2 linked regions of the Struthio camelus genome follow. The protein of the gene in region 1 purifies or fractionates together with the protein of each later gene. This does not show direct contact. Links are inferred from orthologs where the notes say so. Each region holds a gene or a part of one and is shown in the gene's direction. Other genes may lie near its edges.

The links. Proteins that work in one complex are often made in the same cells at the same time.
Region 2: the proteins of ANAPC15 (region 1) and CDC26 purify together in Homo sapiens (affinity purification with mass spectrometry; 3 studies listed by BioGRID and IntAct, with this or other methods). This does not show direct contact. The link is inferred for Struthio camelus from reciprocal best matches to the Homo sapiens genes ANAPC15 and CDC26.

Annotation. Positions count from the first base shown.
Region 1 is NC_090942.1:224,054,271-224,062,364, forward strand, and holds the start of ANAPC15 (anaphase-promoting complex subunit 15), read left to right. Parts: upstream 1-5,022; 5' UTR 5,023-5,096; coding exon 5,097-5,216; intron 5,217-8,094. Other genes in the region: folate receptor gamma-like, read right to left, coding at 24-159, 2,145-2,333, 2,422-2,619. UniProt on the Homo sapiens protein: Component of the anaphase promoting complex/cyclosome (APC/C), a cell cycle-regulated E3 ubiquitin ligase that controls progression through mitosis and the G1 phase of the cell cycle.
Region 2 is NC_090961.1:12,162,087-12,167,272, reverse strand, and holds CDC26 (anaphase-promoting complex subunit CDC26), read left to right. Parts: upstream 1-3,909; 5' UTR 3,910-4,004; exon of another isoform or gene 4,005-4,034; 5' UTR 4,035-4,039; coding exon 4,040-4,120; intron 4,121-4,278; coding exon 4,279-4,452; 3' UTR 4,453-4,592; downstream 4,593-5,186. Other genes in the region: PRPF4 (U4/U6 small nuclear ribonucleoprotein Prp4), read right to left, coding at 286-380, 647-740, 1,009-1,088, 1,903-1,990, 2,217-2,403, 2,560-2,737, 3,499-3,570. UniProt on the Homo sapiens protein: Component of the anaphase promoting complex/cyclosome (APC/C), a cell cycle-regulated E3 ubiquitin ligase that controls progression through mitosis and the G1 phase of the cell cycle.

The DNA of each region.
Region 1 (8,094 bases):
CGCCGCCCGCCCCGCGCCCTCACCCGTGCTCCAGTTCCAGCCCTTGTGCCAGTCCTCCTTGCAGGTGGCGGCGTCGCGGCAGTCCTCCCACCACTGCTCGCAGTCCTCCCGGCACAGCGGCACGCCCCGCACCCGCTCCTTGCGCCAGCTGGTGTCCGCCTGCGGTGCACCGTGCCCGCAGCGGCGCCCCGGGGTGCCCAGCGCCGCCGCCCCCCCCCTGCACTCTTGCAACGTGCCACCCCTGCGCCGTGCACGGCCCCGTGCCAGGTCCCGTGGGCCACCCGGGCTGGGGGGTGTGGGGTGGGTGCTGCGGTGGCTCCCGGTGCACCCTGCCACCCCGGGGTGCCCACTGCCACCCCCCCCTGCACCCTTGCAACGTGCCACCCCTGCGCCGTGCACGGCCCCGTGCCAGATCCCGTGGGCCACCCGGGCTGGGGGGTGTGGGGTGGGTGCTGCGGTGGCTCCCGGTGCACCCTGCCACCCCGGGGTGCCCAGCGCCGCCCCCCCCCTGCACTCTTGCAACATGTCACCCCTGCGCAGTGCACGGCCCCGTGCCAGGTCCCATGGGCCACCCGTGCCGGGGGGTGTGGGGTGGGTGCTGCGGTGGCTCCCGGTGCACCCTGCCACCCCGGGGTGCCCACTGCCACCCCCCCCTGCACCCTTGCAACGTGCCACCCCTGCGCCGTGCACGGCCCCGTGCCAGGTCCCGTGGGCCACCCGGGCTGGGGGGTTGTGGGGTGGGTGCTGCGGTGGCTCCCAGCATGTTGTGCCCACAGGAGCCACCCCTGGGTGCTCAGTGCCACCCCCCCCGCACCCTTGCAACGTGCCACCCCTGCACCGTGCACAGCCCCGTGCCAGGTCCCGTGGGCCACCCGGGCTGGGGGGTGTGGGGTGGGTGCTGCGGTGGCTCCCGGTGCACCCTGCCACCCCGGGGTGCCCAGCGCCACCTCCACCCCCTGCACTCTTGCAACATGTCACCCCTGCGCAGTGCACGGCCCCGTGCCAGGTCCCGTGGGCCACCCGTGCCGGGGGGGTGTGGGGTGGGTGCTGCGGTGGCTCCCGGTGCACCCTGCCACCCCGGGGTGCCCACTGCCACCCCCCCCGCACCCTTGCAATGTGCCACCCCTGCGCCGTGCATGGCCCCATGCCAGGTCCCATGGGCCACCCATGCCGGGGGGGTGTGGGGTGGGTGCTGCGGTGGCTCCCGGTGCACCCTGCCACCCCGGGGTGCCCAGCGCCACCTCCACCCCCTGCACTCTTGCAACATGTCACCCCTGCGTCGTGCACGGCCCCGTGCCAGGTCCCGTGGGCCACCCGGGCTGGGGGGTGTGGGGTGGGTGCTGCGGTGGCACCCGGTGCACCCTGCCACCCCGGGGTGCCCACTGCCACCCCCCCCTGCACCCTTGCAACGTGCCACCCCTGCGCCGTGCACGGCCCCGTGCCAGGTCCCGTGGGCCACCCGGGCTGGGGGGTGTGGGGTGGGTGCTGCGGTGGCTCCCGGTGCACCCTGCCACCCCGGGGTGCCCACTGCCACCCCCCCCGCACCCTTGCAACGTGCCACCCCTGCGCCGTGCACGGCCCCGTGCCAGGTCCCGTGGGCCACCCGGGCTGGGGGGTGTGGGGTGGGTGCTGCGGTGGCTCCCGGTGCACCCTGCCACCCCGGGGTGCCCACTGCCACCCCCCCCTGCACCCTTGCAACGTGCCACCCCTGCACCGTGCATGGCCCCGTGCCAGGTCCCGTGGGCCACCCATGCCGGGGGGGTGTGGGGTGGGTGCTGCGGTGGCACCCGGTGCACCCTGCCACCCCGGGGTGCCCAGCGCCACCTCCACCCCCTGCACTCTTGCAACATGTCACCCCTGCGCAGTGCACGGCCCCGTGCCAGGTCCCGTGGGCCACCCGCGCCGGGGGGGTGTGGGGTGGGTGCTGCGGTGGCTCCCAGCATGCTGTGCCCACAGGAGCCACCCCGGGGCGCCCAGGGCCACCTCCCCCCACCCCCCTGCCCCCTCGCCGCGCTGCAGCGCCGGGCGCGTCAGCCCCGCACCACGTGGGCACCTCACCCCCGTGCCAGGCGCCGCGGGCCACCGGTGCCAGCAGCGGCACCGTGCCCACCGGCGGGGGGCGGGGGGGGGGGCGCCCACCCTACCTGGTCGATCCAGGGCCCCAGGTTGGGCGAACACTCGTAGAGACAGGCGTCCTGCACGAAGTGGCGCTTGCAGCGGGCCGGCATGGCGCCGCAGTGGTCCCAGTTGAAGTTGTAGAGGGGCGAGCGGTCCTGGTGGGCGGCCGCGCTGGTGTTGGCCGTGCAGCAGGCGTTGTCCCGCCAGGGCGCGCACTGCCGGAGCGGGGTGGGGGGGGACAGGCGGTGGGTGCGGGGGTCTCACCACCGCGGCGGTGACCCCCGGGCGCCCCTCGCCCCCCACCTGCCCGTAGAGCTGCCCCTCGGGGCCGGGCTCCGTCTTGTGGTGCTTGGCGTCCATGCACACGTTGAGCGGCAGCGCGCGGCCGGCCGCCGGCACCGCCACCGCCGCCACCACCGGCACCGGCAGCAGCAGCAGCAGCAGCAGCGGCAGCAGCGGCAGCAGCAGCAGCAGCAGCAGCAGGTCCCGCGCAGCAGCCATCTCCCTGCGCAGCAGCGCCGGCCCCCGCTGCCCACAACAGCCGGAGGGAGCGCGCACAGCCGGACGGGGCCGAGGCGCGCACAGCCGGCCCGTGGACCGGTGCCCGGGGTGGCGGCGGTGGTGCGCGCACAACCGCCCCGGCTCGACTCAAAGGTCAGCGGGCGCCCAGGGCTCAGCGCACCCCCCCCCCGCCCCGTCCCGTCCCACGGGATATCCCCCGTGGGTCACCCACACGCACACCCACACACCCATGGGGGAACAATCCCCCGTGGGGCACCCAGCCAGGCACCCACCCACCCCGTGGGTCACCGACAGCCACAAGCACACCTGGGGGGAACGATCCCCCGTGGGGCACCCACACCCACCCGTGGCAAGGCACCCCGTGGGTCACTGACACACACCCACACACACATGGGGGAGCGATCCCCCCTGGGGCACCCACACCCACCCGTGGCAAGGCACCCCGTGGGTCACTGACACACACCCACACACACATGGGGGAGCGATCCCCCCCGGGGCACCCACACCCACCCGCGGCCAGGTCCCCCGTGGGTCACCCAGCCAGGCACCCACCCACACCCGGGGCCAGGTCCCCCGTGGGTCACCAACACCCACCCCCAGGGTTCAGATCCTCGTGGGTCACCCACCTGCACACCCACGCGCACACACAGACACACACATGGGGGGACAGATACCCTGTGGATCACCCACGCACCCACCCCCCCCCCACACACGGGGGAGGTCCCCCGTGGGGCACCCATACCCACACAGACACACACACACCCAGGGTTCAGTTCCTCCATGGGGCTCCCACACCCACCCAGAGGCAGATCCCCCGTGGGTCACCCACCCAGGCACCCATCCACACCCAGGGTTCAGATCCCCCGTGAGTCACCCACCCCATCTGCAGACACACACCCGGGGTAGATCCCTCCTGGGTCACCACAGCCACACCCCCCACAGGACTGTGGAGCAGATCTCCCGTGGGTCATCCACAGCCACACCCACACGGTGGGAGCTTCTCCATGGGCCATGCAGCCATCCGTACCCACACCCACCCAAACCCAGGGGCAGATCCCTGGTGGGTCACCCACACCCATGCCCAAACACACACCTAGGGGCATGTCTCCCGTGGGTCACCCACCCCCACACCTGCACATACCCGGGGCAGATCGTCCGTGGGTCACACCCACCCACCCCCACACCTGAGGGGCTGCTCCCCCGTGGGTTACCCACACCCATACATCCACCCACAACCATCCGGGGGCAGGTCCCTTGTGGGTCACCCATCCACACCCACACCCACCCACACCCAAATCCACAAACACCCGTGGAGCTGGTTCCCAGTGGGTCACCCAGAGCCACACATCCCCCACACTCATACGTGGGCAGATCCTCGTGGGTCACCAACTCCCACCCAGGGGCAGATACAACGTGGGTCACCCACCCACCTACAACACCCCACACCTGTGGGGCTGTGGGTCACCCACCCATACACCCACAAACACCTCCCCACGTGCACACCCGTGGGCCAGATCCTCCATGGGTCACCCACCCACAAACACTTCCCCTACACCCACAAACACTTCCCCTACACACCCGTGGGGTTGATCCCCATGGGTCACCCACCCACCCACATAACCCCACAGAAACCCACTCCCACTCAGGTGCAGATCCCCAATAGGCCACCCACGCACAAGCACACACCCACGCACAAAAACAAACCCACAAGAGATAGATCCCCTTGGGTCACACACCCACCCACAAACCCCCACAGACACCTGCCCTACCCAGGGACAGATCCCCAGTGGGTCATCCAGCCACCCACAAACACCCACTCCCACCCCAGCGCACATCCCCGTGGGGCCACACACCCACACCCACCAAACCCCACGCCCACCCACACCCACCCGGGGGCAGATCTCCAGTGGGTCACACTCCAACCCACCCACAAGCCCCCACAGACACCCATTCCCACCCGGGGGCAGATCCGCAATGCATCACACACCCACCCACGCACACACACGAACACCCGAGGGGCAGATCCCCAGTGGGTCACACACGCACCCACCACCCCCCACAGACACCCACTCCCCCTCGGGGCAGATCACTCGTGGGTCACACACCCACCCACCCACAAACCCCCACAGACGCCCACTCCCACCCGGGGCCGACCCCCGTGGGTCACGCACCCACCCAGCCCCCCCGGGTGGCAAAACCACCATCAGTCGGTGACGCGCTGGCCCCGCCCCTCGCCCCTCAGGCCCCGCCCCTCGCTCACCCCCCCCCTCCCCGCGGGCGTGACGTCGCCGGCGTTCCGTCCGTGGGCGCGGGCCCGCGGGCTCCTCCGCGCATGCGCCGTGCGCGCGCGCCCGCCGCAGCGCCGCCCCGCCCCTTCCGGCGCGTCGGGCTCCGGCTCCGGGTCGGCGCCGCTCCCCGCCGCGCGGGGGTTCCGCCGCCGCCGCCGCTGCCGCAGCATGTCCACGCTGTTCCCGTCGCTGCTGCCGCGCGTCACCGAGGCGCTGTGGTTCAACCTGGACCGGCCCTGCGTGGACGAGACCGAGCTGCAGCAGCAGGAGCAGCAGCACCAGGCCTGGGTGCGCCGCGCCGCGCCGCGCCTCCGCCCCGCACGGCGGGGTGCCGGGGCCTGGTCCGCGGGGGACCGGCGGCGGGGGGGGTCTGGGGACAGGGGTGGCGGGGGGGTCCTGGGGACGGGGGTGGCGGGGGGTGGGGGGTCGTGGGGACGGGGGTCGAGGGGACAGGGGTGGCGGGGGGTGGGGGGTCCTGGGGACGGGGGTCCTGGGGACAGGGGTCGTGGGGACAGGGGTCGTGGGGAGAGGGGTGGCGGGGGGTGGGGGGTCGTGGGGACGGGGGTCGTGGGGACAGGGGTGGCAGGGGGTCGTGGGCACAGGGGTGGCAGGGGGACGGGGGGTCCTGGGAATGGGGGTCGTGGGGACAGGGGTTGTGGGGACAGGGGTGGCGGGGGGTGGAGGGTCCTGGGGATGGGGGTCGTGGGCACAGGGGTGGCAGGGGGACGGGGGGTCCTGGGAATGGGGGTCGTGGGGATGGGGGTCGTGGGGACAGGGGTGATGGGGGTCGTGGGGATGGGGGTCGTGGGGACAGGGGTGCCGGGGGTCGTGGAGATGGGGGTCGTGGGGATGGGGGTCGTGGGGACAGGGGTGATGGGGGTCGTGGGGATGGGGGTCGTGGGGACAGGGGTGCCGGGGGTCGTGGAGATGGGGGTCGTGGGGATGGGGGTCGTGGGGACAGGGGTGATGGGGTCCTGGGGATGGGAGTCGTGGGGACAGGGGTGGCGGGGGGTCATGGGGACAAGGGTCATGGGGACAGGGGGGACAGGGGGATGGGGGTGGCTGGGGGCCGTGGGGACAGGAGTGACGGGGGTCCTGGGGATGGGGGTCGTGGGGACAGGGGTGGCAGGTGGTCGTGGACACAGGGGTCATGGGGACAGGGGGGTCAGGGGGATGGGGGTGGCTGGGGGCCATGGGGACAGGGGTGAGAGGGGTCGTGGGGACAGGGGTGGCAGGGGGTGGTGGGCACAGGGGTGGCGGGGTCGTGGGCACAGGGGTCATGGGGACAGGGGTGACAGAGGGATGGGGGTGGCTGGGGGCCGTGGGGACAGGAGTGACGGGGGTCCTGGGGATGGGGGTCGCGGGGACAGGGGTGGCAGGTGGTCGTGGACACAGGGGTCAGGGGGACAGGGAGGTCAGGGGGATGGGGGTGGCTGGGGGCCATGGGGACAGGGGTGAGGGGGGTGGTGGGCACAGGGGTGGCGGGGTCATGGGCACAGGGGTCATGGGGACAGGGGTGACAGAGGGATGGGGGTGGCAGGGAGCGGTGGGGACGAGGGTCATGGGGACAGGGCTGACGGGGGGGTCATGAGAACAGGAGTGGCAGGGGGTGGTGGGGACGGGAGTCGTGGGGACGGGGCAGACAGGAGGGTCATGGGGACGGGGGTGGCAGGGAGTGATGGGGATGAGGGTCGTGGGGACAGGGCTGACGGGGGTTGTGGGACCGAGGGTTGTGGGGATGGGGCTGGCAGGGCGTTGTGGGGATGGGAGTTGTGGGGACAGCATTGGCAGGGGGTCGTGGGGACGGGGCTGGTGGGGGTCGGGGGTAACACGGGGTCGTGGGGGCGGGAGTGGTAGGAGGTCTTGGGGACAGGGGTTGTGGGGGTGGGACTGACAGGGTTCCTGGGGATGGGGGTCATGGGCATGGCGGTCGTGGGGATGGGGCTGACAGGGGGGTTGTGGGAACGGGGGTCGTGGGGTTGGGGGTCACGGTGACAGGGCTGACAGTGGGGCTTGTGGGGACGGGGGTCATGGGGACCGGGTCGGCAGGGAGTTGTGGGGATGGGAGTTGTGGGGATGGCAGTCGTGGGGAGAGCGCTGATGGGGTCAGAGGGACGGCGGTGGTAGGAGGTCGTGGGGACGGGGGTCATGGGGATGGAGCTGATAGTTGGGTTGTGGGGACGGGGCTGACAGGGTGCTGGGGACAGGGGTCATGGGGACGGGGCTGATGGGGCGTCATGGGAACGAGGGTTGTGGAGACGGGCCTGGCAGGGGGTCGTGGGGACGGGGGTCGTGGGGACCAGGGTGGCAGGGGATTGTGGAAATGAGAGTTGTGGGGACGGGGCTGGCAGGGGGTCATGGAGACGGGGGTGATAGTTGGGTTGTGGGGATGGGGCTGACAGGGGGTCCTGGGGATGGGGCCGGTGGGGGATCCCTGAGGACAAAGTGACTCTGGGTGTGGGGGTCCTGGGGACAGGGCCAACAGGGGCTTCCCGGGATGGGGTCCCTGGGGATGGGGGTCCTGTGGACGGGGCTGGCGGGGGCTCCTGGGGATGGGGGTCCCGTGGACAGGGGTCCCAAGGATGGGGGCGACAGGAGGTCCCCGTGGACGGGGCTGCTGGGGCTGGGTGAGCAGAGCGCAGGGCAGAGACCTGCGGCGCGGGGCTGGCTGATGGGGGCGCAGGGGTCCCACCGCGGGCCGGCGACGTGGCTCCGGGCCCGGCCCCCCCGGGGTCTCCCGCGGTTGGGGCCCTGCCCCGCTGCGGGCTCTCACCAACGCCCCGGTCGCTGCCTCTGTCCCAGGACCGCGCTGGGGTCCCGGGCGCCCGGCGGGATCCCCAGCCCTGCAGCGCCGGGGCAGGATCGGGTCCGCGGTCGGCTCCTCCGAGCGCTTTCCACGTGCTTCTGCCCTGGCGCCGCGGCTGCGCCGCCGGCCCCCCCTCGCCCCGGCGCCCGGGCAGGGCCCAGCGAGCCGCTCGTCCCGTGGCCCAGCCCTCTGGGCGCAATTACGCCGCTGCCCTTCGTGGTTCGCAGCTCTCCCGTTACGTGTGTCGGCAGCTCAAAAAGGTGTTGCTGAAGCACGGGGCCCCCTCCCCGCCCCGACAGCCGTGAATTAGGGAAAGGTGCCCCGGAGAAGGACTTCTCACTGTGGTCAGCGGCAGGTGTA
Region 2 (5,186 bases), on another chromosome or scaffold:
GGAACCTCAAAGAACAGATCACACACAGAGCTGCAGAACCACACTGGGGATTTCTGCAGCGGCTATAATACCAGCACACTTGGAGCTACCAGCCACAGGGACAAGCGGACTCAGATTCGAATCCCTGCAAATCTTTAAAACAGGGTGAAGACAGAGTTCAGAGTAGGAACAAAGAGCACTTCTGAACTCTCAGGTTTCACAGACCTCCAGTAACATCCCTCTTCTTCATTCCTGTCACGTTCCACCCCCCTTTTCTAAAGCGAGGGCTTTAAAAAGAACACTTACCAACAGGCAGTAGCTAGGAATTTGGAATTGGGGCTGAAATGGCAGTAGGACAGCGGCCGATCATCTCCAATCTGACTGCAGAAGTTATTCAAGGACTGAAAACAAATACAAAGACAATGGCAAATAAGTACTACCGAGGTAGAAAAAGCCTTGGCCAAGAAGTGAGATGAAATAGGTAAGTGTACGAAGGAGGAGACAGAGGTCTTTGGAAAGTTACTTACACAAAGGGAAGAGCTGCCCCAGAGCCACTCCAACTCCATGCAGGAGGGGGACGGAGCCACTCTGACTGATCTAAGCTAGCACCTGACCTCTTTCTGATCTCTTTTGTCAAGAAACAAAGCTGAGCAGATGCCAAACCTACCCTCAGGGATTTGTGTAGCTCCTGTCTCTGTGATGTTCTGGTTGCCTCTGGAATCTCTTTGAGCAGCCGGGCTTCTTCTAGCCGCTTCACTGCCCTGTGCAAAGCAAAATTAGAGCAACAAGTCCCTACGTTTCCCCCGGCCTGCTGCTGGAAACAGGCCTCTCCTCTGCCTTTCTTAAAATTGGGCTAATGCCAGTGCAGTTACTAAGAACTTAAACTCTAACCTCACTGGGTTTGTCTACCAGCAGGGGTTCCCTGTTCTCTTGATCTCAAGTTTCTGGCATTACCCATAGTGGGATTAATGGTTAGATTTGACAGAAGCCTGCATCTCTCTCTTTTTCATGTATTTTGTTTTTCCTTACCTGGGGAGCGAGTAGTTAGCAAGCCACAGCCTAGCTGTCTTCAGACTGCGTGGTCCTTCGTGGTACCAGGTTTGCTGATACTTAGAGAAAAAGAACAAAACTAAAGAAAAAGCTAATGTGATAAGAGTTCTTCCATTCAGTCATCTTAGATAACTCCTCTTCGTACATAACTGCCACCGCAGCACCTTCTCTTAAAGCTTGCTGTCTTAAGGCCTTTGTCTTAAGGGGCTGAATGGGGTATTCTGCATAAATATAAGTCCTCAAAAAAGAGATTTAACACAGACAAGTCAAGTTCTCTGTCCTACAAATGAGATCCTGGTGTACTGCCATGCCCCACAGGTGTATTCTGCTTGAACACAATCTTATATTTCACTTGACCATTTACTGCTGATGATTTTACTGGATATGTGGAAAAGGGAGGAATAAAAAGAAAGCCTGGAGCTGCAGAAATTGTACTTACTCCTTATAGCAACCCTCCAAAATCATAAGGAAAAAACCAGACTCAGAAAAGAGAGGCAGAAAGAAAGAAGAATCAAAGACAGAACTAGATGTAGTGGCAGGAACATAGTTTTTTTCCTCCTGAGTAAGATGATGATCAGCAATAAAGGATTTACTAAGTAACAGTTCCAATGCTCAGTCTCCTGGTTTATACGCCATATGCAACATGTAATTTGGTCTGAAGTACAACCTGGACTTAATTCTCTTGATTTAAATACATTGCAACCCTCACTGTCAGTCTGACTGAAACCAAAAGCACTGGATCTATTGTAGACCGTCTAAATAAGGTATCTAAAAACTTTTTATACATATTCCCCGCCACATTAAGAGCTAGCAGCAACCCCTCCAAAATAAATAAATAAATAAATAAGGAGAGAGAAAAAGAGAGAATATTACCTCTTCTTTGGATTTTTTAGACTTGTCATCATCTTTCCTACTCTTTTTCAAGGCATCTGTGCCAACCACTGAAAGGATATTTCGTAATCTGAAAAGAAACACATTAAATCACATTCACTCAGTGAGCTGTCAGATAGTCTGACCATTGTCTTCTGTTCTCCCCCTCACCCCCATTATTCTTGCTACATCATAAAGAAGCATCACTGACTAGCAGCGTTCATTACACCCAAACTACAAGAAATATTTCAGGAATTTGACAAATGGGGTAGAGCTGAGTGTTAACAGTTAGCAACACGCAAGACTGGGCACAGCACCTCTCTCTCCTTTCTGCAGGACCTTCTCCAAAGAGCGTGATGGGCTCCCCAAGGGCTCGTAAGCAGGCTTTCACTTCAGAGTCGTCAGTGGAAACGTTGATTTGCCGGGCTCTCTTCCTGCGCTCAAACTCGGCTAAGACTTCGGCCTGACGCTCGCTCATATGGTCTTCGAGATCAAAGACCTCACCTAAACCAAAAGTGAAGCCGTTAAATTGAAAACGGCAGCTGGACAAAGGTGTCTCGTTCTTGATTTTAAATTATGCTCAAGCCCAAACAGAGAGACTTATGAATATGTCAAAATCAAGAGCGAGAATCAAAAGGTGACAGGGTTAAACATTCTCACCACTGCTTATGTTAATGTTGCCAGCCTCAATTGCAGCCTTCACGCCCTCTTTTCCCAGCAGGCCTGACTCTCCTTTTGCAAGACGCTCTCTTTCCTTCTCTTCCAAACTGCCATAAAAGATGTGGGCTCTTTTGGGTGGAGGAGCATCGCTCTCCTCTGAGGCCTTGCTCTTTGCGACCTAGAAAATAGAGGCAGAACATTAAGACTTCTTCAGTGTGTTTTAGCTGAATAGAAGACATTCGGTGAATGGCTTGGCTGTGCGAGAAAGCACTGCTCTGCCAGAGAAAGCTAGTAAGGACATCATGAAAAGACCCTGAAGCTGTGCACGAGATGCTAATTTAGAACAGTAAGGCTATGCCCCTCAAGTGCAAAAAATCAAAAGTTAAACGACATGTTCAATAGACTTGCTTAAATTAGATTTGCATCTTTTTCTATTTTTTTAGTGTCTGCTTGGGCATAGTTTTTAAGTCTCTCTCTCTCTCTCTCCTATTTTTTTTTTTTTAAAAACATGAAGCTCTTCCCAATCTTGCTGAAGAACTTCTAGAAGAGGCATGAGATGTTGAATGCCACCTCTCAATGCCCCCGCTGAAAAGCGGGAGATGTAACATTACCAAAAAAAACCCTCCTTTACTCGCAGGACAGAAGCCTGAAAGCACTTTTCAAGAAAATTACAGGATTCTTCAAAAATCTGCGAAAAAACATCAACAGTCTGGTCACGACCCCTTTCGAGGGCTCAGGTGTCGCTGACGGCACTCGAGTCTCCGCCGCGCCGCCGCTCGCTGCGTCCCCGACACCGGGGCCTCCCCCGCCACGCAAACCGCCCCGCTGCCCCCCGCTCCCCCTTTCGGGTCTCCGGCGCGCAGGCGGGCGGAAGGCGGCGGGCCAGGCCCGCTCCTCCGCTCGGCCCCGGCCCCGGCCCCGGCCCGGCTGGACACGCACCTCGGGGGGAGCGGGAGCCCGCGCGGGGGGCCGCGCGCCGCCGCGCGCCACCGGAGCCCGCGAAGAAGCCATAGCGGCCGGCACCGGGACACCCGCCGCTCCGCGCCCTGCCGCCCCGGCACCCCACAGTCACTTCCGGGGCGCCGCGCGGCGCGTGTCGGGAGGTGGGAGCCTGAGTACGCGGCGGAGTGAACGGCGAGCGCGATGCATGCCGGGAGGTACGCCCCACTCCCAGCTGGCGGGGAGCGCGGGGCGTGCCGGGAGGTATGACCACCAGTGGGCGAGGAGCGCAAGGCATGCCGGGAGATGTGGCCTCCAGTGGGCGAGGAGCGCAAGGCACGCCGGGAGGTGTGGCCCCCGACGGGCGGGGAGCGCGGGGCATGCCGGGAGGTGTGGCCCCCGACGGGCGGGGAGCGCGGGGCAGGTCGGGAGGTGTGGCAAACGGCGCGGCGGGGTGCGTTCTCGCTCCTTGCCGGTGGCGGCGGCTGAAGCCGGGCGGCGGCGGCTGAGGCGGCGCTGGCGGCGGCGGCGGCGGCGAGCGATGCTGCGGCGGAAGCCGACGCGGCTGGAGCTGAAGCTGGACGATATCGAGGAGTTCGAGAGCATCCGGAAGGACCTGGAGGTGCGAGCGGGGCCGGGCGCGGCGGCGGGCGGGGGGGCGCGGCCTGAGGCGGGCCCGGGGCCGCCCCGCAGCGCGCGGCGCCGGTACCGGGGCCCGGCGCGTCCCCCGCCGCCTGCCGGGAGCGGCCGGGCTCTGAGGCGGCGCCGTTTGCCCTGCAGAGCCGCAAGAAGCAGCGGGAGGAGGCGGAGGTGGCGGCGGCCGGCGAGGAGGCCGCCCTGGCGCTGGGCGCCGAGCACAAGAGCCGGGAGCAGATCATCGGCGAGCGCATCGGCTACAAGCCGCAGCCCAAGGCCGGCGGCCGCGCCGCCCACTTCGGCACCTTCGAGTTCTAGGGCCGGCGGAGCCCTGGACCGGTTTTTCTTGTTATTTTGGGGATTTTCTTGATTTTTTTTTTTTAATTTTCCTCCTTAACCAGCCTGTGAATGGCCCCTGGCTAACTATTTTGTTTTAAATAAATATGTTTTTTTTTTTTTTTAAGCGTGCGAGCTGCTTTCGCTGGCGGTGGAGAGCGGGGGTTGGAGGCGCCGAGACCAACGTTTGCTTCGCGTGTGCGAGAACCGGGGACTGAGCAGGTGCCCTGTTACGCTGAGGGGGTAAAACGCTGCCTCTGCGGAAAGAGGTTTTGGGGATCTTTTGATTTAGTTATCTTAAAAACTGAGCCAGCGGGATGTATTCATTGAAACCGTCAGCTCTACAAGACTGTGACCTCCCTGCCATGAGGAAGGGTGCTGCAGAGTATCTAATTAGTGTTTTACAGCTCTGGGTGAATAAAGATACTGGGTGTCATGGATCGGGGTCCAACTGGCAAAACTTCTCACAGACACCGCTCTATCTTCTTCTGAGAAGGCCAGGAAGGAAGCCCGCCATGGCTGTTAAAATGGACTAGTCCCGAACATGTTTCACAGATGGCTGTAGAGCTGCTTTACAGCCAGTGGCACAGCCAGGGTGTGGATTTTTTCCTTTGAATGAAACGCAGCAGAACACGCTAGGCACGTGGAAATTGAACAGTATTCCATAGTTTCTGATTAAGCATTTTTTTTCCTTTAAATTTATTTCCTTCCCCTCC